4 linked regions of the Drosophila melanogaster genome follow. The protein of the gene in region 1 purifies or fractionates together with the protein of each later gene. This does not show direct contact. Each region holds a gene or a part of one and is shown in the gene's direction. Other genes may lie near its edges.

Evidence for each region.
Region 2: the proteins of Naglu (region 1) and Cnx99A purify together in Drosophila melanogaster (affinity purification with mass spectrometry, with the first as the bait; one large-scale study listed by BioGRID). This does not show direct contact.
Region 3: the proteins of Naglu (region 1) and CG1092 purify together in Drosophila melanogaster (affinity purification with mass spectrometry, with the first as the bait; one large-scale study listed by BioGRID). This does not show direct contact.
Region 4: the proteins of Naglu (region 1) and CG11911 purify together in Drosophila melanogaster (affinity purification with mass spectrometry, with the first as the bait; one large-scale study listed by BioGRID). This does not show direct contact.

What each region holds. Positions count from the first base shown.
Region 1 is NT_033779.5:8,407,728-8,413,969, reverse strand, and holds Naglu (N-acetyl-alpha-glucosaminidase), read left to right. Parts: upstream 1-2,101; 5' UTR 2,102-2,425; coding exon 2,426-2,683; intron 2,684-2,762; coding exon 2,763-4,841; 3' UTR 4,842-4,921; downstream 4,922-6,242. Other genes in the region: CG13398 (uncharacterized protein), read left to right, coding at 1-419; emb (embargoed), read right to left, coding at 6,046-6,195.
Region 2 is NT_033777.3:29,314,405-29,322,350, reverse strand, and holds Cnx99A (calnexin 99A), read left to right. Parts: upstream 1-2,706; 5' UTR 2,707-2,763; exon of another isoform or gene 2,764-2,817; 5' UTR 2,818-2,976; coding exon 2,977-3,120; intron 3,121-3,738; coding exon 3,739-4,077; intron 4,078-4,210; coding exon 4,211-4,282; intron 4,283-4,381; coding exon 4,382-4,515; intron 4,516-4,839; coding exon 4,840-5,428; intron 5,429-5,490; coding exon 5,491-5,631; intron 5,632-5,721; coding exon of another isoform or gene 5,722-5,847; intron 5,848-5,985; coding exon 5,986-6,114; intron 6,115-6,181; coding exon 6,182-6,406; intron 6,407-6,471; coding exon 6,472-6,516; 3' UTR 6,517-7,097; downstream 7,098-7,946.
Region 3 is NT_033777.3:4,264,566-4,269,534, forward strand, and holds CG1092 (uncharacterized protein), read left to right. Parts: upstream 1-2,204; 5' UTR 2,205-2,408; coding exon 2,409-2,640; intron 2,641-2,695; coding exon 2,696-3,648; 3' UTR 3,649-3,751; downstream 3,752-4,969.
Region 4 is NT_033779.5:319,541-323,764, reverse strand, and holds CG11911 (uncharacterized protein), read left to right. Parts: upstream 1-2,516; 5' UTR 2,517-2,543; coding exon 2,544-3,377; 3' UTR 3,378-3,486; downstream 3,487-4,224. Other genes in the region: CG33127 (uncharacterized protein), read right to left, coding at 780-1,634.

The sequences.
Region 1 (6,242 bases):
ACTATATAGTGCTGGATCTTGATCAGCCGCGAAGTCCCGTGGGACCGGCGGGTTCATCAAAGGCGATCAATGGATTTGGCAGCGGCTTATCACTGATCTCCACCCCAGCAGCTGTCACCGCACCAGTAACTCCAGAGGCAGGTACTACGTTGGACGTTCCCCCACCGCCCATGCAGACCCAAAGCCTGAATAGCATCTCTGCTGATACGGGAGATACGCAGGCGAAGAAGGTAACAGAATGCTCCGGGACACAAGGCTATTCAACCATCGACTTCATCCGCACATACGCGTTGAACAAGTCTTCGACTGAACTGCCAGAAACAGTGACGCATCGACAGCATTCGTCGCACGATGCCGAGGAGCTGAGAATCACCAGGCACAGCAAGTGCATACGAAAGGCTTACTCCATAAGTGAGTGAATTGGAGGCAGCAGGAATAGGATTGGTGGAGGAGACCGCGAGTGCACAACGAATTTACAGAAAGCATAATGGACACCAGATCGCTGGCGAAATGGATCTAACCCCACATTTATTTGTGCCAAATCTGAGTACCAAAAAGATGTAAGGAGCTTTTGAAAGAAAAATCATAATGCCGGGAAGTAAAGAGGACAACAGATCACGAAGAAAGGAAAAACAGCCAGATCGGAAAGAGTACAAAAGTAAAAGAACAGTGGCCACAAGATTTGTTAGGTCCTAATTGTTAAATGCTCGATTTAAAGTAAACCAACTAAAGTGACCAACTGACCAACTATGAAGATGAAAGCGTATAAAAACACATGCTGTGCAACTTAAAAGTTGAGCAGATCAAATGGATAGCTTGTTAAAAAATATCGAGATTAACTACTAAAATTAACCACACATGGGATCAAACAGGATTTTATTGATACAGCATACAATATTTTAATGTTTCCAAATGACGTTTTAACTTTTTTGCCCACAAATTTTCGTGATGCTGTTACTTTTGATTTTGAAAAGCATACTTAAGAAGGAGCTAAGTAACTTTCCTACTATTTTCAATGGATTTTCAAGGGAATATGATAAAATTGAAATGGATCTCTCTCGGATTGGGGAGTAAAAAGCTATGGAGGTTGAAAAGAACGTGTTGCACAACGAATTTACTGCACGAGATTGTGGTAAAGTGAAATTTGAAGAGTGATTTGTCCAAAGATATGTTTGCTTCCAACTGCGCCAAGCTAAAACGCAAACGATTAACAATATTATAACCAGGTTGTTTTTTGTAGTCAGTACAGTAAACTCACACAGCCAAAAAACCAAAACACATAGACATGAATTGCATACGTACATAACTTGTATTTAAGGATATTAACAATAGCATTACTTAGCGATTAGTTGATTTGTGTAATTGCCAGCGGCTGTTTAGAGCTAGTCATTTTTGATTTTGTGCATATAAAATAGTGAGCAACACGAAAGGCTTTTAACATTAAAATTGTACATGGTAGATATGGTAAGAGTAGCTCATAAGCACCAGAAGATACATCATCGACGTACACGTACGTTTGTTGTTGGCCAAGGCTTTGAAATTGTATTCTGTTGCCAAACAAAAAAAAAAAAAAAAAAACAATGGTAGAAAGCATCGCGTTGCATTGTCCGCTGTGAGTTTATAATTTTTTACATATATATATCGCTGAATTGTTATTCAATTTGTTAGGAGTTATATACACTGAGCATTCATCGTTTCACACGAACGAGAAGAAATGAATGTTCTTTCGTTTACATGTACTTAAAATCGCTGCTTAGTCGGCGGCATAAACTAAATTATTGTTAGTGTCTAAGACGAAATACGTGCAATAAAGCTCAAATGACCCTGTATATATACTATATATTTTTTGATATTTTCCGAGATATATGGATTTGCCTTGCGATTTTCAGTTAATTTCTTAACAAATGCATTATAACACGGATTACAATATAAGGATATCGACGAAGACCAACATTTAAATACCATTCTAAATTGTATAGTTTCCAAAATCTGACGTTCTTTGTTTTTTGTTGCATAAATATCAAACAATTATTTTAGTTGATAATATATTTTTTACCTTTTCATTGCTTACCAATTAATTTTAAATCAGAACTTAATATTATTTTTAAAACTCAATAAGGGAAAAATTGATCTACAAACTTCTTATCAAAGTTGTAATATACTCTTAGTGAGTGTATCCGATGATCCCTCGCATTTCAGAACTCTACTGCGTCATTGTTCAATCTGGCGATAAGAAGAAAGTGATCGGAATCCAGCTGCTCTTCTCTTCCATTGTGTTCTCATCGGGTTCACTTAGCGCTCTTTCCTCCGTTCCCGCATTCTTCGGGAGAGCCCCAATTGCGAGAGAAGGAGAAGCTGTCAGTCAGTCAGTCACTTGGGCCCCGTTGACATTGACACACACGGCAGTAAATAGACGGACGGAGAAATGCAGCTGAATTGGAAGCTGGCCTTGGCCTTGCTAGCGGTGCTTTGCCTGCAACTCGCGCAGGGATCAGAACTTAACTGGGATGCGGCTTCAGGTCCTGAAATGGGACTCCAAATGGCTGCCCACTTGGCACCCAGCACACCCAAAGATGTCCAGGAAACCGCAGCCATGGCGGTAATCAGTAGAGTAATCGGCGAACGATCTTCTCAATTGTTTAAGGTGCAAGTCAATAAAAATATGGATTTACGAAGCTTTCAGGTAATAATATTTATTTATTAAGTATTTACTTTTAAGTAAATAAACAATACAAATGTTTCAATCTTTAAATACCTTACAGATTAGCATGTTGGATGATGGCCGGATTCTGCTGATGGGATGGGATGGTGTTTCCGTGTGCAAGGCCCTCCATCACTACCTCAAATATGTTTTAAACAAGGACGTGGATTGGTTCAAGATGCGCATTGAGTTGCCCACCAATTTGCAGCTGCCCAATGTGACCATCGAGTCCAAGTCAGCAAGCCCGATTATCTATCACCAGAACGTGTGCACTTGGAGCTATAGCTTTGCATGGTGGGGCATTGAGCAGTGGCGCCGTCACCTGGACTGGATGGCCCTGATGGGCATCAGTCTGACTATTGCGCCGGTCCAGGAAGCCATTTGGGTGAAGGTGTACACGGATATGGGCCTCAGGATGGAGGAAATCGACGAGCATCTGGCTGGACCAGCTTTTCAGGCCTGGCAGCGCATGGGCAACATACGGGGATGGGCGGGACCACTGACACCGGCATGGCGACGCTATCAATTACTCCTCCAGCAGGAGATTATCACTGCCCAACGCAATCTGGGCATGAGCGTGGCCTTGCCCGCCTTTGCTGGTCATGTGCCACGTGCTCTGAAGCGTCTGAATCCCGAATCGACGTTCATGGAAGTGCAGCGATGGAACCAGTTCCCCGATCGATACTGCTGCGGTTTATTTGTGGAACCCACGGAGAATCTTTTCAAGGAGATAGCCTCGCGTTTTTTGCATAATATCATTACGAAATATGGTTCGAATCACATCTTCTTCTGCGATCCCTTCAACGAACTGGAGCCACCGGTAGCCAAGCCGGAATACATGCGTTCAACGGCGGCGGCGATTTATGAATCTATGCGCGGCATTGATCCTCAGGCCATTTGGTTGCTTCAGGGCTGGATGTTCGTGAAGAATCCCTTTTGGACCACGGACATGGCTGAAGCTTTCCTCACGGCCGCACCACGTGGTCGCATTTTGGTGCTCGATCTGCAGAGCGAACAGTTTCCGCAATACGAGCTAACGCGCTCCTACTTTGGGCAGCCCTTTATATGGTGCATGCTTCACAATTTCGGCGGCACACTTGGAATGTTTGGATCAGCGAAGCTGATAAATTCCGGAATAGAAGAGGCGCGTCGCTTGCCCAACAGCAGTTTGGTGGGCACGGGAATCACACCCGAGGGCATTGGCCAGAACTATGTGATGTATTCGTTCACCTTGGAGCGCGGCTGGAGTAATACATCCCTAGATCTGGATAGCTGGTTTACGAATTTCTCACACAGCCGGTATGGCGTTAAGGATGAGCGTTTGGAGCAGGCGTGGCTGCTCCTAAAGAATAGCGTCTATTCCTTCCGTGGTCTGCAGAAAATGCGGGGACAGTATGTAGTGACGCGCAGGCCTTCCTTCAACCAAGAACCCTTCACTTGGTACAATGCAAGTGCAGTGCTGGATGCCTGGCACTTGTTGCTGACCTTCAGAGCCATCATACCGCTAGAGGATAACAGATACGAGATATACGAACACGATTTGGTGGACATAACCAGGCAATTCCTGCAGATCAGCGCAGATCAGTTGTATATCAATCTAAGGTCGGCCTATAGAAAGCGACAGGTTTCGCGTTTCGAATTCCTTAGCGTCAAGCTGTTGAAACTGTTCGATGACATGGAGCTGATCCTGGCGAGCAGCAGGAATTTTCTGCTCGGCAACTGGCTGCAGCAGGCCAAGCAAGCGGCACCGAACACTGGGCAACAAAGAAACTTCGAATTCAATGCGAGAAACCAAATTACCGCCTGGGGTCCTGATGGTCAGATCCTGGACTATGCGTGCAAACAGTGGTCCGGCTTGGTGAGCGACTACTATAGGCCTCGGTGGAGACTCTTCCTGGAAGATGTGACAGTGGCTCTCCATGCTGGACGACCCTTTAATGGTACCGCTTTCAAGCTGAAAGTCTCGCACGAAATCGAGCTGCCTTTTAGCAACAAAGACGACGTTTATCCCGTGACGCCAGTTGGCAACACCTGGCTTATTTCCCAGGACATTTTCGAAACCTGGAAGGGCTACTCTAAGGACACGCTCTTTCTACATAACAACAGATTATCAGTGCCTCAAAAAGCGGGACCTAAATAATTGTATCTACCTATAGTTCAATACAACTGCCACAACAAACGTTTAATAAACTTTTCTCTAAAATTGACTTTAAATATTCGAAATAAAAATCTTTTGACACTAGTTGCTCAAGGATTAAACGAAAACATTTCAGATATACAGATATCCCACCAAACTTTCAAAATTGATTGGCATCAATCCAATAATGTTTCAATCAATTGCGAAATTCCACGAGATTAGATACGTACACTATATTACTATCAAAATCGTTACAATTGAAACTTAAATGTGGCTTTGCATCATACATCAATGTAGTTTTAATTGATTTTTATTTAAATTAATGTACAAACTAATTATGTAAAAATTTAAACGATTTAATACGCATTTCTATGGTTACTTTTGTTTTTCTTGATGTATTTGTGTTTTGGGTATTTGCGTTTTAGTTTTCTTTTTTTTTCACACATTGCATGAACTCTATTCTGGTTATGATGCCGTGCTTTCTTGATCGTCTCCTTATTGCGGCGTCCATCGTCTTCAACGTCGGGTTAATGCTAGATTTATGCAAAAAGATTGCATACAATTTTGTTTACTCCTGCCAGCATCTGATCTGTTTAAGTCACTACAATTAAATTTTTACTTTAAGGTTTTCTTCATCTTAATATTCTTGTTTCCTTTGCTCATTTTTGTGTGGGTTTCTCTGAGAGGTGTGTTTGTGTTTGTTCAAATATTCATTCATACTCGGATCTTTCTACAATTACTCATTTAAAAAATTCCAAACAAACATTATTTTATATTAGTACAATAAAGTTTGCATCTTTCGTATCGGTTGCGTGTAGTATTATTATGACGTTTTACAACTATATAATGTGGATAGGGGAGCGGGAGTTGGGAACTGGCTGGGCATCTTATTTATGCTGGTATGTCGAGGACAATGCGCAAAAATATGTTAATCATATTAATGTATGTAATTGCGCACGAATAACCATTTACTCATTCACCTTTTAACGCAGCTATATCTGTATAGGTGTATGTGTATGTGTGTGTATGCAAGTGTTGTGGGTCTTGTGTGGATGTATTTATATATATAACGTACTTATATGCATTCAATCAAACAAACATTTATACTTTCTCGCTCGAGAAACACTCATACATCACCATCCTTTTATCATTCTCAAGCATCAACTAAAACATTCTAGCTCAGTGACATCGACATCGACATCGACATCTATTCGTCCTGCATATCCTCGGGCAACTCGTGCGGATTCAACATTCCTGGAATATTACGCTGCATCTGATGTTTATTTGACTGCTCCTCGGCCAGAGCCGCTTCACGCTCTTCCAAGTACAGATCGGAATCGTCCTCGCCGGTGGCCTCCTGCAATTCAATTTATATACATTAAGGTAAATGATATTTACTAGCAG
Region 2 (7,946 bases), on another chromosome or scaffold:
CCTACTACTTTTCCCCCGCCCCCCTCCATTAATTCCTTTGAGAGGGTGAGTGTGTTAAGTATGTTTTTTGAGTAATTCGTGTAGACAAGAGCTGCTGTTTTAAAAGCGAAGCACATTGGGCCCCCAGTTTCTTGCCACCCAGGGATATTTATGTGCTAGGTAAATGTTATTATAAATTACCCAGAAGTTTGAAACTCGTACTGCAAAGCGCTCGGCTTCCTGAAAGGCGCTTTATATACTCGTAATTAGCTGAGATTTATCTGAAAGCTCGTTCTCCAAACTAGTTCCAACACTTTTGCTTAGTCTTATCATTATCATAAGCGTTTAATATATGTTTTTGGAATTCTACTTGGGGCAAAAAACATTGAAAATAAAGAAGGGTGCAATCTAATAATGTTGAGTTTGTATCTCTGGACTTTAGTTTAAATGTTAAGTATTTTCCCACATTTACTGTACAGTGGAACATCGCCGTCGTGTGCAGGAATCCGGCTGAAGTGTTGGTAAGCTGGCCTCGTTGTTAATAGAACACTTGACAACACTGGCTGTTTATGCTCAGGTGGGGCGTTTTAAAAAGCTGCATGTGTGAGTGTTGGAGGTGTGCTTGTGTCTGTTTATGTAGTACCCTCATTAACTGTCATTACACAATTTCCATAAAAAAAAAAGAAACGTCTGTGCGCACGTGTTTAGTTTTCTGCAGTCCGGAGGCTCCAACAAAAGTTGCCTCTTCTTCCGAACACACCTACCCCCCGCCCCCCACTATTATGTATATGCACCACCCACCCACATGTGTGCTTCCGAGTCTTTGTTTGTCTTTAGAAAAAAACTTTTTAAATTGTGTTAAATATTCCATTAAACAGAAAGCTTTTTGTATGCAGTTGCAAACAAAAAAAAAGAAAGAAAAACTGTCAGTGGCAGCAATAGAAGCAGCAGCAGAATTGCGCGTGCCGCAGATAAGTTGCCACAGTTAAAGGATGTGCACTGGGAAAAATCTGTTAATCTTGAATATTATATATGTACCTGTTCATTTGTGTGGAAAATGTGCGTTTCCTTCAATGCTTCTAATTTGTAATAATTTTATTGTTATTTTCTTAAATTTATACACCTATTTTCTCAGCACAAAGAAGGCGTGGCAACGAATGGACCCCACCCACACAAATCCTGCCAATAAGTTAGGAATTTTTATTATAATTTTATGCTCAAATGCATGCCACTTTATTTTTTAGAGCCACGCGTGGCAAAGGGAAACTTTTGCCGCCAGCCATCAAGTTTATTGGGGGGCTTAGCCATTCCCGTTGTGGGGCATTAATTGAGCCGCCGGGCTTTTAAAATAATTGCAACATGCAAGACTACTTTCATGCCACGGAGTGTTTGATTCAGATATGTCCAGTGGAAAATAAATGTATGCCAATATTTCAGTGGAAATCGCACATCGCACAAATATTAATTTCAATATGGTCGGCGAGGGAAAATAACAAAATACTAGAGTGGTGCCTGCTACGAGTCCTAGATAATCCTAATTCCGATTGAAATTAATTTAAAAATTAGCATACATAATTAACAAAAATAGGCTTTAACTGGTTTGCGAATTTCCGTGCAAATTTATTAAGGCAAAACTGTCAATATGGAAATTACGTATTTTCTTAGACGTTTTTCGTCACTACTTGGCTCAAAATAGTCAGAAATCTACGAAACTAACTTTTTTGTACATCTTTTGACCTAAACTAACAGGGCATATAACTTTTTGACCGTTTTTCCAAAATCCATATTTTGGCCATTTTTGAATTTTTTGTAAGGGGTACCATCATCATTTTTTGCAAAATTTGGCTCAAAATTTTTTTTCCAAAATTTGATTTTGGTTGGAAGGGGAGTTCGATTACGAGTCCAACAAGGTATGACAATCCATATTTCGGACAATATTTCTCAAGTTATGGCTGAAAAACGATTATTTTATGGTGGTTTATGCGAATTTATATGTCTCAAATGAAAACATGCAGCTTTCTTTCCCCTTGTAACCATTTATTCTTTATTTATAACATTGTATTTGTTTATATATTTCATTCTGTATTATGATCATGTATTAATTATGATTAGCAGTGAAAAGTATGCAACATTCAATTAGCGTCTGGGGGTAAGTCTGTACTACAAACTTATCGGAGTTCCAAACCCTGTAACGACGATTGGAGTGAGGCATATCGATATGCTTAAGGTAACGATTACGATGATGTTTTTATTATTTGATCAACGCACTGTTACCCATGCGGCAACTTAATTTGATCTGCTTAAATTATTTTATTTTACAATGTGTCTTGGTTACTTAAGACTAACAGATTTTTAATCCTAAAAATGATAGGGAGAATTATAATAGTTGATATAACATAGTAATTATTATTTATTTGATTATTCTAATGAATTTTAAAACTAAGACTTTCTAGGTCAAAACCAGGTTAGGGAGGTCATGAGGGTGGTTTTAAGGTAACAAAAGTATTCTTAATTTATTAAATAGCAAATAAGTATATAAAATTAATAAATCTGACATATTCCTTACTTTTATTTAGCACAAACATAATCATCAAATCAATTATATTCTGGTCCCGCTGAAAGTGTGCTCTTCCTAAGAACGTGCAATTATTAAAGATTCTAGCTTGAGTAAGTATCTTAAAAACTATATATACCCTACGGTAGGGTACAACGCAACGCGACAGTGTGACCAGTTGTCCTTTGCGGCGGCATACCAAAGCAGGCGAAGAGGAAGCACAGAACACAGTAGGCAGCGCAGCAGAGAAAATGTATAATTTACATTAATTTAATTACAAATAGTTCGTCGTGCCAGATCTCGATTCTTGTTATTCCGCAACAGACCGCAGTGGGGGAAAACTGTTGAAAAGCACAGCGCGCACAAGTGAGTCCACCACCTGGTTTTCCGCGGATACTAAATCCCAGCCAGGCAGCCAGCGAGCGAGCGAAAAGTGGGTGAAAATGGCGTGGAAAATGGGAGGAAACCGGGCCGCAACGCTGGCGTTGCTCTTCGCCAGCAGTTTGCTGCTGCTGAGTGCGGCCAATGCCGCCGATTTGGACACGGAGTCGGACGACTTCGAGGATGGTTATGTGGAGGATGTGCAGGTGAGTAGTTGGTCCGACGATGCGGTTCGTAAGATAAAAAAAACGAGAGAAAAAAGTACACGTCAGTGGAAGCTACTAGAAGAAAAGGCGAAACGCTATTGCTGTGAGGGTAGGGGAAGGTGGTTGTGGGGGAGGGGGGTGTTGGTGCGGCCGGCTTCTTCGCTTTATGACCCACAATTAGCATGCGAGTGTGTCTCACTTTTCCAGCAACAAATCCGAATGCGAGGGAAAATAAAACTGTTTACCAACAGACGAGGTCAAGCAGATAGCAACTCCCCATGGCAGCACCAAGAATGCGCTAATCTGTTGCTCCACAGGTTACATCAGAGGTTTATTGAGCAGAGCTTCTATTTAACGTGCTTGTTTCTCTAGAAATTATGCCAGTCATTTATGTTTCTAGGGGAGTTACTGCTACAGATGAGGTCAAGCTAAGAGCAACATAAAACATGTTATTATATAGCTATAACTAGTCTGGCGGGCCCAGGTGTAGCGCTCTCCAATTCAAACCCATGCTGGCCACCCATCTTTCTCTCCCTCTCTTTATCACTTTCCCCACTGACAACCGCGTGCTTCGGATTTTATGGCACCTTATCTAATGTTTCCACATATGCTTTGCAGGAGGAGCCCGCCGTCATCGGTGGCGATGAGAAGCTGGCCTACGAGAGCCCGGTTATCGATGCCAAGAAGTTCCACTTCGCGGATCACTTCGACGACGTGGAGGAGTCCAGGAAGAGGTGGGTGCTGTCGCAGGCCAAGAAGGACGACATCGCCGAGGAGATCTCCAAGTACGACGGCATCTGGAACTGGGAGTCGCCGCAGCGCATCGTTTGGGCTAACGACTTGGGTCTGGTGCTCAAGTCGAAGGCCAAACACGCGGCCATAGCCGCCCCCCTCCGCAAACCGTTCGAGTTCAAGTCGGACAAGCCGCTGGTGGTGCAGTACGAGGTCACGTTGCAGGTTCGTCACCTAGCGAAACGCTCTGGGATTGCATCAGCCGCCGGGCAAATCCAATTAATACCCGCTTACTGACCCAATTCTCGTTCTCCCCCGGCTTATTCTCGTTTTTTTGTTTTTGTTTTTTTGTTTTTAGGAGGGTCAGGAGTGCGGTGGCTCGTATCTGAAGCTTTTGTCCGCCGGAAAAGACACGGAGCAACTAAAAGCGGTAAGTGCGGGGGCCAATGCCCTCATAGATCACACTCGCCTGAACCCCAAAGAACATACATCGTAAACAACCCCCGAAACCGAATCTGTTTACTCGTAGTTCAATGACAAGACACCCTATACCATCATGTTTGGACCGGACAAGTGCGGCAACGATGTGAAAATGCACTTCATATTCCGGCACGTCAATCCAATTAATGGCACCATCACCGAGAAGCACTGCAACAAGCCAAAGTGAGTCCATTAAATGAACGCAACTCTTTGGCAGATTGGAAATGAGCAGCTCGTTCAAGCGTTATCGCTATCAATAGAATCACCACTCTAACCATCTTGCTTGAAAGTTTCCGAGCGTTGTATAGAAACAAAATTGGTGTTCGACATTGCGCATACGTGTAATATCTCCGAAATCACCTTTGCTCACCTTTATCACCCGTTTGGCTCTTCGTCACCGATGGTGGACTATTGCCCCCATTGATGAGCTGAATTTCTGAAGAGGCAGATAAACCGTATATTTATAATCCCATCGATGAATAATATTCTTTTGTTCTTTGCTTTCAGGAACCGTTTGGAAGAGCCATTCAAGGACAAGCTACCCCATCTCTACCAGCTGGTGGTCCGTCCCGATAACAGCTTTGAGATTCGCGTTGACCACAAGATCATCAATGAGGGTTCCCTGCTAACCGATTTCAAGCCACCAGTCAACCCGCCGGCAGAGATCGACGACCCCAATGACCACAAGCCCGAATCGTGGGATGAGCGAGAGAAGATCCCAGATCCCACTGCCCACAAGCCCGAGGATTGGGATGAGGATGCTCCACCCCAGTTGCCCGATACCGATGCCGTCATGCCCAATGGCTGGCTCGAAGATGAGCCCGACATGATTTTCGATCCAACTGCCACCAAACCCGAGGATTGGGATGCCGAAATCGATGGCGAGTGGGAGGCTCCATTGGTGGACAATCCAGTGTGCGAGAAGGCTCCCGGCTGTGGCAAGTGGAAGGCTCCGCTCATCCCCAATCCCAACTACAAGGGCAAGTGGCGTGCACCAATGATCGAGAACCCCAACTACCAGGGCAAGTGGGCACCCAGGAAGATTCCCAATCCAGACTTCTTTGAGGATCTGAAGCCCTTCCAAATGACGCCCATCGTAAGTGCAATTTGCATGGCTTTCGTTGTCCACTTTGCTATAGCCAAACTAACTCTATTTAGAGCGCTGTGGGTCTGGAACTGTGGTCCATGTCCAGCGATATTCTCTTCGACAACCTAATCATCACGGACGACGTGGAGGTGGCCCGTGACTTTGCCGCCAACAGCTTCGACATCAAGCGTCGCTACATCGATCGTGAATCGGTAAGTTTAAAACCCCTAACCTCTTCCGTTTTCCCTTCACAAATAAACACAGGGATTCGTAATCGAGAGACTTCTCTATCCAATTCGAAGAAAACCTTCTGGCACCGCCTAATGCGCCGCATGAACTACAAGCCCGGCTGGTGGGCCCTGTACTTCGTGTACCTGCTCATTCCGGCCAGTTGTTATGTCTTCTATCTCTACCGACGCGCCAAAGAGGTTGGCTCCGGTCTTGTCTTACGCTTTCAAATTTTAATTAGAAGTGCCTACAGTACAACCACATGAACACCTCTCATATTTGCCCTGCACCGTGCACCTGTAATTGCTACTGCTATTCTTTGGCTTTCTCATTAATAGGACTCATTCGTGAATAAGGTAGTCGAGCTAGCCAAGGCCAATCCCTCGATCTGGGGCATTGGCTTGGTGGCCATTGTGGCGCTGGTTGCCCTCACCATCTACTGTAGATTTGGTACCGCTAAGAGTCAGGTAATGATGCTCGAGCTTTCACTTGAGATCTTCATAAGGAATTTACTAATCCCACTTTTGCTATTAGGACTCGGCTGCCAAAAAGGCTGCTGCCGAGGCCAAGAAGTCCGACGATCCTCAGCCCGACGATGAGCCCGAGGCCGAGGAGGAGAGCGACGAAAGGGCCGCTGGCGATACCAGCAAGGAGAGCACACCGCTGTCCGCTAGTCCCAAGAAGAACCAAAAGTCTGATTTAGATGATAACGAAGAGGAGTCCAAGGCGGCGGAGAGCCGAGAGCCCGCACAGACTGAGGTGCGTTCAAAAATAAGCTTGCTTGTGTCCACCACCAGAACTAATCTCAACGTTATTCTCTTTAGGAATCTAACACAAAAACACGCAAGCGTCAAGCGCGCAAGGAGTAAGCGGGCATCCCCACATGCCGAATCCGAAAACAAACACTGCAACTCTAAAGAAAAAAAAAAACTTAATCCAATTCCAAAAGCCAGCGGTTGCGAAGCAGCAACAACCAAAATGTTTGTTCGCCAAGGCAGCCGACATCTCCCACAAACTACACACACACACCACACACACACTCGTTTCGGTTTAGTCAACTCTGTACGTACTTTTGCCGTATTATCGTTGCATTTCTGTCGTGTTCGACCCTCTGTCGTCCCCATATCTCCTATACATATATAGCACCCTTACACAGAGCCAGCCGCGATGGCACCGCTTTATAGTGTTTAGTTGGAGTGATGATCCTCCTTTTGATTTGTGTAAAAATGGAAAACACCAACTAGACAATTGAGGGAAACAAATCAACTACAACTGAAACTAAAGCAGCAAACAAAGAGGGAACTAAAGCAGATAAATCTAATGGCAAGCATCTAGTTTAATATTATGTAATTTAAACGAAATTGAATAGTATGTTAGTTATACTCAAGTTTCCATTTTCATTTGTACCGATGAAAATTTACAGCGAAAAATAAAACTAAATGTCAAAACCAAAGCAAGAGCCTTTGAATCCAACCAACTGCCAGCAGCTAAGCGAAAGGACTGAGCCAAGTCCTGTCGCACAGGTCCTGATTCCAACCCCCATGCAGCCATACCACATGGGTGTTAATTTAAATGTCAACCCCTGATGTTGGGATAGATCAGATTCGAATCGGATTTATTATGCTCGATGGTGCGTGGGGCGCCGACCAGACCAGACCAGACCAGACACATTGCATTCGTGCGGTTTTGGGGCATTTGCCAAATGCCAAATGCCAAAATGTTTTCATTATTTGGCCGATTGGATCGATCTGGTATAGAATACATTTAACAATCATTTTGCGAGTCAAGAAAGAAGGAAATCCCCGCCAATAGAATTCATTTTCAGCAAATGATACCATCATGTATTAGAGGCCTCCTTTTTGTCGCTCTGAATAATTCAATTCAATTTCCTAAGCTCATAAATATGCCAAATCAGACAGACAGTCCTCGTTAATGGAATTGTTATGACAACAGTAAGCCGACGACGATTTGCATTCGCCAAAAGGAGGAGTTGGGATGTCTCAGTCAGTCACACACAGGCGGGACATTCGAAATTAGATTTATGTCCGCCAAACAGATGTGAAACTCTTTCCTTCGATTGCCCAAAACTCCAAGGGCTATTCAATAAAAAGATTAAACGATTTGCCCGATGTCTGGCGGCCTCACTTAAAAGGATTAAAATTTTGCGGCTAGACTGCGTTGCATATTAATAATATACGTCGTATGTATGGGATGCGTCAGCCGGGGTATGCTCCATAATAATTCATGCATAGACAAAGGCTCCAAGGGTTGCCATTGCAACCGAAAATGAAAAAATGGA
Region 3 (4,969 bases), on another chromosome or scaffold:
TTAAAATCAGATGCAAATGAAATACTTATTATTTCCCATATTCCTAGAGACATTATAAAAACTGCACTTTTTAACATCGTACCATATCCAGACAAAGATAATAATATACTTATAGAAAATGTAAATGATAAATATTATATTCAAGATAATCAAGTTTACAAACAAAACTCAAGAAAACCAATAATAAACAAATGTATTACAGGAATATTAAATCAAATACCAACAGAATGCAGATATTCAAAAACACATAACAATATTGGAATAACTTATGTAGAACCAAACATAATTTTAACTTGGAAATTATCAAAAATTGTATTAAATCAAAACTGTATAATTAATAGAGAAATTATAATAGAAGGAGACAATATAATAAAAGCTTTTAATTGTTCTGTTCAAATAGAAAACATATTAATTACAAGCACAACACTAGACTACACACAAACGGTCTATATCAATAACAATGTAACAAAATTAGAACCATTATCATATCTAAATGCTAAAGAAATAATTAAAGAACACACTAATACATACAACACATTACAAATTATTACATTAACTATACTTGCTATTATAATACTTACACTTATACTATATTTTATTTATAAATATAAAGGCATTCCCAAAAAACTAATTGTTAAATATAAAAAAGAGAATCCACAACAAATAGAACAACAAAATAACACAACAACAGAAAATATAAATACAGTATTTGATACTAATCCTGTATTGTATCCTAGAATATCCGCCTGAGGACAGGCTAAATTTAAAGGATGGGGAAGTAGCATATGTGCCATAGTATAAGACCACATATACTTACACACACACATACATAACCACATAGGAACAGCCATACACAAAATCATAGAATGCCTTAGGATATAAGTCATAAAATCATGTATCCAATAAGAACCCAAATTCTGGTGACAATAACAAATCCAGCCTACCCTAATGTAAACATTAACATCCGCTGCCGAATCAGTTATTCCCACCAAAGGGTCAAAACCGCTTACGCAGCTCAAGTTCTCGGCTGATCAGTACCCATGAGTGATCCACTCAAGAAGGCACCCAATCCAACAGACATAAACATCCGCAGCCGCATTCGCGACTCCCACCAGAGGGTCAAAACTGCTAACACAGCTTTAAGGGTCAAAACTTTCCACGTAGCTCAAACTCGGCTGATCTATATCCATGCGCAATCCACTCAAGAGAGCGCCTAATTAACGTAAACATAAATGAGAGCCTATGTACGCTCAATATGAAGAAGTAAATAAGCTCAGCCAAGGGTTTGCTAAGCGTTCGCTTTGCAAATTAGATTTAGATTTTATTCATACTTCAATTGTGTAAGACGTGAATTTGTCTCCGACATTCGCTTAAGTTTTTGATCAATAAAAATACTTTTTTTTTATAAACCAACAAATATAATATAATATATGTATATTATGTATGTATATGTATATTTAAATCATTCCTTTCATAAGCAACTGCACACTGTTGTCTACGCTTAGTCAGATATAACTCGTAATACTTGTGAAACGATGCAAAGCCCATATTCCAGAATAGCGCGATCGTAAAAACAGTGGGAGAGAAATTTTCCTGATAGGACTTGACATTCTTATCGCTTCGGAAATATAATTAAGCATAGGAACTCACTCACTGAATTAAAATAAGACCTCGAATTGAGCAATGCACTGTGGTGCGAGTGTAATAAGATCATATATAAATCCGTTCTAATAATTCAACAATATAAAAACAACAAACAACCCGAGAACTTTCGGGTGTTTTTGCATTTTCAAGTAAAAATGATAAAATAGGAATGTGAGCGTTTAATTGGTTTTTAGACCGTTTATATGTGCGCGATAAAATAAAAAAGGTAAAACGGTAAAGATTGATTATTGTGATTTTGGAGAACTGTTTGTAACTGTCTGCAACAAAACGTTCTTCTAAAGTCCGGATAAATTTTTGGTTAAACACGTTGAAGAAGCATAAGTTGAAAATGTTGAAAACACACCATAAAAACATATACTGAGTTGCACTAATAGGGCATTTTTCAATACTATCTATGCTTTTCAAACGTTCATTATGATAAAAATAAATTATGTCAATGTCAGCCCACAATCATTTAATTATTGTCCACTTGGACAGAAAATCTTTTTAAATATTGTCAAAAGTAATAAAAAAGTTTTTACTAAAAATTGAAACATTCAATAAGTTATTTTAGTTATTTAATACCAGGGGATACGGAGTTTTGTGCTTACATTTCAATTGAAGTTAAATAGTTTCGTTGCCCAGTGATAGACGTATTTGAAAAGTGACTCTCTCTCGAACTACTGTGCAACGAAATCCGACATCCGTTGAGGGGTCCGATAGGCTGGCGCAAAAGCTGGGTTGCCAGTGACTTGAGCTCTGCGATGACAACCTCAAGTCTTGCAATCGGCGCATCCGTAGCGCTTATTCTGTTGATGTTGACTGGTTCAGGGCATTGCCAAGTGGGATACGTGCGGCACCTGTCGGAGCTGCGGATAAGGGAACTTGAAAAATTGTCGGTTCGTATACAGGGCTCCATCAACACCGAAAAGTATGCCTGCGAGAGCTATTTCGACTACGTCTGTAGCCGCAATCGACCCCTCTTTTCGATCATGGGTAAGTGAGGAAAGCCTGTGTTGGGGGAGTGCCTAATGCATATACCCTATCCAAGGACACATGCCGCAAATGGGCGATCTTATGCAGTTGCTGACCGAGCTGCAGAACGATCCAGAGCCATTCGAGGCTAAGCAGAAGACGCTGGACTTCTTCATCTCCTGCAACGTGCACCACGCGCTGGAAGACTGCTATCGTGAGACCTATGAGTATTTCAAGCCACTTTTCGGGTATATAGTTACAAAAAACATGCTCAATGGAGAATCCCACGAGCTGGATGACTTTCTGGGCATTTTGGACCGCTTCGTCGTCAGGTTTCAGAAGGACAGAGAGTCGAATCCCATTCTCAGCAAGCTGGCCACGTATAAGCAGAAATTTAAAACGCCGCGAGTCTACTTCCATGCTAGAGACCTGAGCCGGGAGTACAAGGACCTGCGGATCTACCGGGAGAGCTACGAACACAACGTTCGCAATCTGGAGCAGCACAGAAAACTGAATTCAACATACGAATTGGGGGTTCAGCGCACCATGCTGGATTGGAGCATGTACCTCTTTCAGAGCCGCAACAAGCCCATGTCCTACTTCTACTCCACGTTTACGGTCCATTTGTACATGATGCTTTTTAATAGTCTGGAGCGTCAGCGTGATTTCACGCGGTTTCGCGAAGATGTGGAGTGTTTAAGGCTGCCGCAGTTCGTTAATGTTCTGGATGAGGCCAGAATGCTGGCTGTGATCTACTTAAAGAGCTTCCGAGCGGCCTGGATAGACTACAGCGCCTGGATCAACTCGCCTCCACAGAACAGTGGGATATACGATCAGGAAAATGGCGTCCTTCAAAAGTACCATCTTGACAACAAGCGTATATTTTTTACTCTTTACGCTCAGAACTTCTGTGAGTTTGGGAAGGATCTGGCCGAGCATGTCTTCTATCTGGGCCTTAAACAGAACAAGGACTTTTACGACATATACTCTTGTGGATTCCAAACGGAAAACCCTATGACTTGTGTTTAAAAGATCAAGACCATTTCTACCATATATTTAGTTTACGAGATACAATAAAAGCAATAACATTCTCATAAAGGTGTACAAACCATTTGAAAAAAATGGCTTTCACTAAAAAACAAGCGAAGTTAAGATACCCAAATATCAGATACCCGTTACTCAGCTAGTGAAAGAGCAAACGAGAAATTTCTTCCATATCGATTGAAGTTGGGAAAAAAATAAAAAAAAGAAATATATAATAAAAAATTTTGAAAGCGTGGGTCATGCATACGGGCGGCTTGTGGCCAAAAACTGAAATGTAAAACAAGAGAGAATGCTTAAGTCGAGTTGCACGACTATCAGATACCCGTTACTCAGCTAGTGCGAATGCGAACGCGAAATTTCATAATTTTTCTGGGATATCGATAGATGGGGAATAAAATGAAAAACAAATTAAAAATGGCTTAAAAGTGTGGGCGTGACCGGTTTGGAAGCTTAAGGTCGTTAGAGTGGACGTGAAAAAAATTGTTTGGCTAACCGATAGAATATTACAAGACTTATAAAATTATGAAAAAAATGTAAACATTTTGCAATAGTGTGGGCGTGGCAGTTTTGGGCGGTTTTAGGGCGTTAGAGTGGGCGTGGCAAATTTTTTTGGCAAATCGATAGAAATTTACAAGTCTAATAAAATTATAAAAACATATCAAAACATTTTTCAAAATATGGGTCAACAAACTTGCGCTGCCTCTATGTCTTAAGAATCTGTATGCTTAATCTCAACCTTATAGTACCAGAGATCTCGACGTTCACACAGACGGACAGACAGACGGACCAGGCCAGATCGACTCGGCTATTGATCCTGATCAAGAATTAATATACTTTTTATGGTCGGAAAAAATTTCCTTCTATCTATAAAATACTTTTAAACGAATCTAGTATACCCTTTTACTCTACGAGAAACGGGTATAACTGTCTTACACTAGACTTTGTATTCAAATTATAAAAATGGATATAAAACTTAAAACAAAGATGAATCCGAGATCTCGGAGTTTATATTGCAATGAATCTAGTGTACACTTGTACTCTACGAGTAAATGGTATTATTCAATTTACACTAAACGAATTTCATTGATCCAAACTCTGGCCATTTTGGATATTTTCAACGATTCATAGCGACCTTAGTCTTTTGATACCTTTAGTAAAAATTTAATTTACAGCGATCTGCAGGCTTTGTTGGTAAAACTGTAGGCCATTGTGGGGTTTCAAGCGAAATACTAAATACACCTTAAGATTAATGTCGTTATTGGATGACTTAGTCACGTGGGCTTTAATCATGAACCGTGCCAGAGTC
Region 4 (4,224 bases), 8.1 Mb from region 1:
CATCTGTATCTATGAAACACATCTGTTAGTGACAATTGTCAGACGCTGTTCTCGATTCGCTGTCAATCATGCTTAGGGAATTGAGTTCTAAAAGGGCTGTCGGGAGTCCAAAGCGAAAGGTGGAGTGCTTCAGTGCATTAGGAAGCATTGGGAGGACGATTGGCAGGTTAGGATATGCTAATGCTGCTGAGGAACACCCAACAGTCAGCTCATCTCCCTTGAAGAGTACACTTCGAACTATAGAAATACGTTTAAACCGCTGCTGGCTGTGCTACATGCAAATCATAGTATAAAATATGTACCTGCTTAGTTCTCTTTACATACATATTCCACCTAACCCATTTCCATCCCCCTCAAATTACCTGATAAAGTTTTCATGGAACTAGAAAACTTTGCCTGCCACTGCTGTTGACAGGATAACCTGACAAACTACCGCAGAGTCGTGATAGGAATGAGTCTCGCTCTCGTCAGGGTCTGTCACCAAATTTGCAGTAACTATGATCTTACCAAATTTACCCATCTGACTAGAAAGTCAGCTTACACCTTACCGCTTACTCAGCAAATACAAAGACTCTATCATAAATCATAAATCGCCAGCTGATCGGCAATTATAAATAGTAGTTCGATTTCAGGCAATCAGCCGTCCACTTATCGAGCAATAAAACAAGGTTTTCTATTCACGTTAACGAGCTCTGTGATAAGATACGAAAACGCGCGGTGTTTACTTTAATGTACTGCTAGAGTATTACGCAAAGATCTCCCCTTCGACACCACGACTCTCAGTTAAGCTGGTAGTAGGCGCCGATCGTTTGGTGGATCCATCCAATGTAAGGGGGTACAGAGGTGTACACCGTTGGCCGATTGGCATATCCGCACGGCATATAGCTCCAGGATCCGAGGCCCACCAACTCCGCCGGTCCAGTGATGGGCCAGTAGATCAGGGGAGTGCCTCCGTCTCCGTAGCAGGTCTTTACCTGAGAGCACACCTGCTGCGCCGTCAGAGGAGCGTCTGCGGGCAGCAACTCCTTGCAACCCGTGCTATTGAGTAGGGGAGCGAAGGCATACTGCAACTCTTTGGAGTACTCGTCGCCATCGGGGTCGGTGAGTCCCCAGCCATAAGCAGCAGCTGTCTTATTGCTGTAATCATCATTGATGTCGGGCAGGGCGATCTGCTGAACTCGAGCGTTGTACTCGAAGCTCTCAGAGACGTGGAGCAAGGCTATATTGTCACTTCCGGCGTTTCCATTGAAAGACCGATGCGTTGAGGCGAAGTCGACGTAGCGCACTTGGGCGGCCGTCACGTTCGACCGGTTGATGATTCCAGCGTAAACGGGTGTTCCTACGGCATCTCCGTTGAAGGTGCGCAGTTCATCGACACAATGAGCAGCCGTCAGGAGCCATCGTTTGCCAATGATGGATGCCCCGCACAAGTGGGTATAGGTGGCCCTTGTCAAGGACAGGGACACCAGGTAGGGCACATTGTCCACCCCCTGCACATCGTAGCCATCTATAATCAGGGGCTGGATCTCTGCGTGAACTTGTTCTGTATCCCTCAATGTCAGGTGTTGAATGTGCGGAAGTTTAGCCGCTCCGGCCAAAGCCAAGAGGGGCAGCAGGAAAAGCGGCGATAACATCACTGATACGGTTGAGAATTTGAATCGTCTAAACCGGACGCCGAAAAGCAACTGGCCTTTTATAGTACAAGACCAAAAAGCTTTGCCATGCAGAGGAAAGAGAGAAAACCCCTGGAGTGCAGCAGTAACTCAAAGAACTAGTTCGATTATAGAAATATTGGACTAACCTCTGATACCGGGAATTAAGAGATTACGTTTTTAATGTGGCTTTAAAAAATTACATGGAGTGGGACATTCAACTTCTCCACATTACCTAACATATATGCATATATTGTATGTATGTATGTAGCATGTAAAATATAATTTAAGTTTAAGCTCCGTCTTAGGCTACATGTACTATTTTAACCTCCTGGTGCTGTGGCATTTAAATTTTGCAATTAACCTTTGAAGCGCGTAAGAGGACACAATGAAGATCGCGGAGTGCATCCTTGCATGCACTAATTGCCGACTGTCCGGAACAAGCTGCAACCATGTGTCATTAGGGCCACATGTCCCATGGTGTGGATGTTGTCCTGAAAATGTTTACGCAAACACGCGGTCACTTCAGGGGTATGAAATCTCTTCCTCCTCTCTTAATTGGCTTTGAACGCCAGCTGGGAGAACCCCATCGAGAGGGGTCAGTATTTATAGCATCCTTTGAGACTGGGCCGTGGTCGACCTTGCCGTGTCAACACCTCGGTTAGCACATTACGCACACCCACGTGGGCGCAGATTTCCAGGGCTTTTCCCATTCAAGAACAAGTTACTATTAAATACGCGTACTCATATCGGACAATCGTAATCAATTCAGACGAAATTAACTAATCGTCAAATACTATTCATAAATCTATCTGCTTATCTCTAGTGGTGGGCAAGTATAAAAGGTGCCATTAGTTGGTAGTCAGTATACATTCTCCGTAAATCTGCAGAATGAAACTGATCACTGTGACTTTGGTTATTGCCCTTGTGGCCGCCGCCCAGGGAGCCAAGCTCTCCGACAAGCTGGCCAAACTCGTGCCTAGCTTTGCGACCGGCTTCGTGATCAACGGCACGGAGGCAGAACCCCACTCCGCCCCGTACATTGTTTCCCTGGCGACCAACTACTTGAAGCACTCGCACATCTGCGGAGGCACCTTGATTAACAAGGACTGGATTGTGACTGCTGCTCATTGCATTTCCGAGCCAGTAGGCATGAGCATCATTGCCGGACTCCACACCCGTGCCGAGGTGGATGAGCTGACCCAGCAGCGCCAAGTTGACTTTGGCCGCGTCCACGAGAAGTACACCGGTGGCGTTGGGCCCTACGACATTGCCCTGCTGCACGTGAACGAGTCTTTCATCTTCAACGAGTGGGTGCAGCCCGCCACCTTGCCCAGCCGTGAACAAGTCCATGAGGGAGAGACCCACCTGTACGGTTGGGGACAGCCAAAGTCCTACATCTTCTCGGGCGCCAAGACCCTGCAGACTGTGACCACCCAAATTTTGAACTACGAGGAGTGCAAGGAGGAGCTGCCGGAAAGCGCTCCTATCGCTGAGTCCAACATCTGCTCCTCTTCCCTGCAACAGAGCAAGTCTGCATGCAACGGTGACTCCGGCGGCCCCCTGGTTGTTGAGTTCACAAACGCCCCCTCCGAGCTGATTGGCATCGTATCCTGGGGCTACATCCCCTGCGGACTGGCCAACATGCCTTCCATTTACACCAAGGTGTCGGCCTACATTGATTGGATAACCAATATTCAGAGTGCCTACTACAAGCTCTTCTAAACAAAAGGAAGAAACTATTAGTCAGATCTATTAGCCAGGATCGAAATCGCTATTGATCAGAGTCATGATCGATTGTTGAATAAAAGCATCCAACTAAAACTTGTCTTGTAACTTTTTTGCGTTTATTCTTTCTAAAATACCATCCTCTTCAACGCAAAGCAAAAACGTTCAAAAAGAAACTAGTTTTGTACACCCCTCCGATTGATCGATTGTGAAATAATTATAGGCAATGAAAGTCCAGTCTCTGTTTGCTTTTCTACAATTTATTGTGTCTGATTACCCTTGAATCGAACTGTAATCGGAACTGGATTAAAGACGGTCCCGAACACACCATTTGTCTCTTGATTTATGGTTTCTAATATAAGCTCTGGAAAAGCCCAGACTTTTGGAGGCGTGTGCCATTGATAGACGATCCAGTATCGAAAGTCATGCACTCGACCAATCAAATCTAACCGGACTGAAAGCTCCTTATCATTGCTATTAAAAAAGTGCTAAATAATATTGAACAAAGAGATTGGAAAAGCTTTACAAAGTTCGAATTCTAAGAATCAACATGTTGCTAAAACAACGTTTAATACAACAAAGAATACAAGGATGACGCATGAAAATTTACAACTTTAAAAGTTAAATTTTTCTAGATGCTTTTTGGCGCTACTAAAAATAATTCCCAAATACATTTAAGGTTGTTTTTAGAAGACTCAATAATATTTACACTTATGTTTTCATATTTCATCATTTATTATCAGGGCATGCTAGCTTCTAATCATTGTTTGCCAAATACACAAAGTCTCTACTATTGTTTTAAGACAAATACAATTAACACACTCAGACAAAGTAACCTGTATGT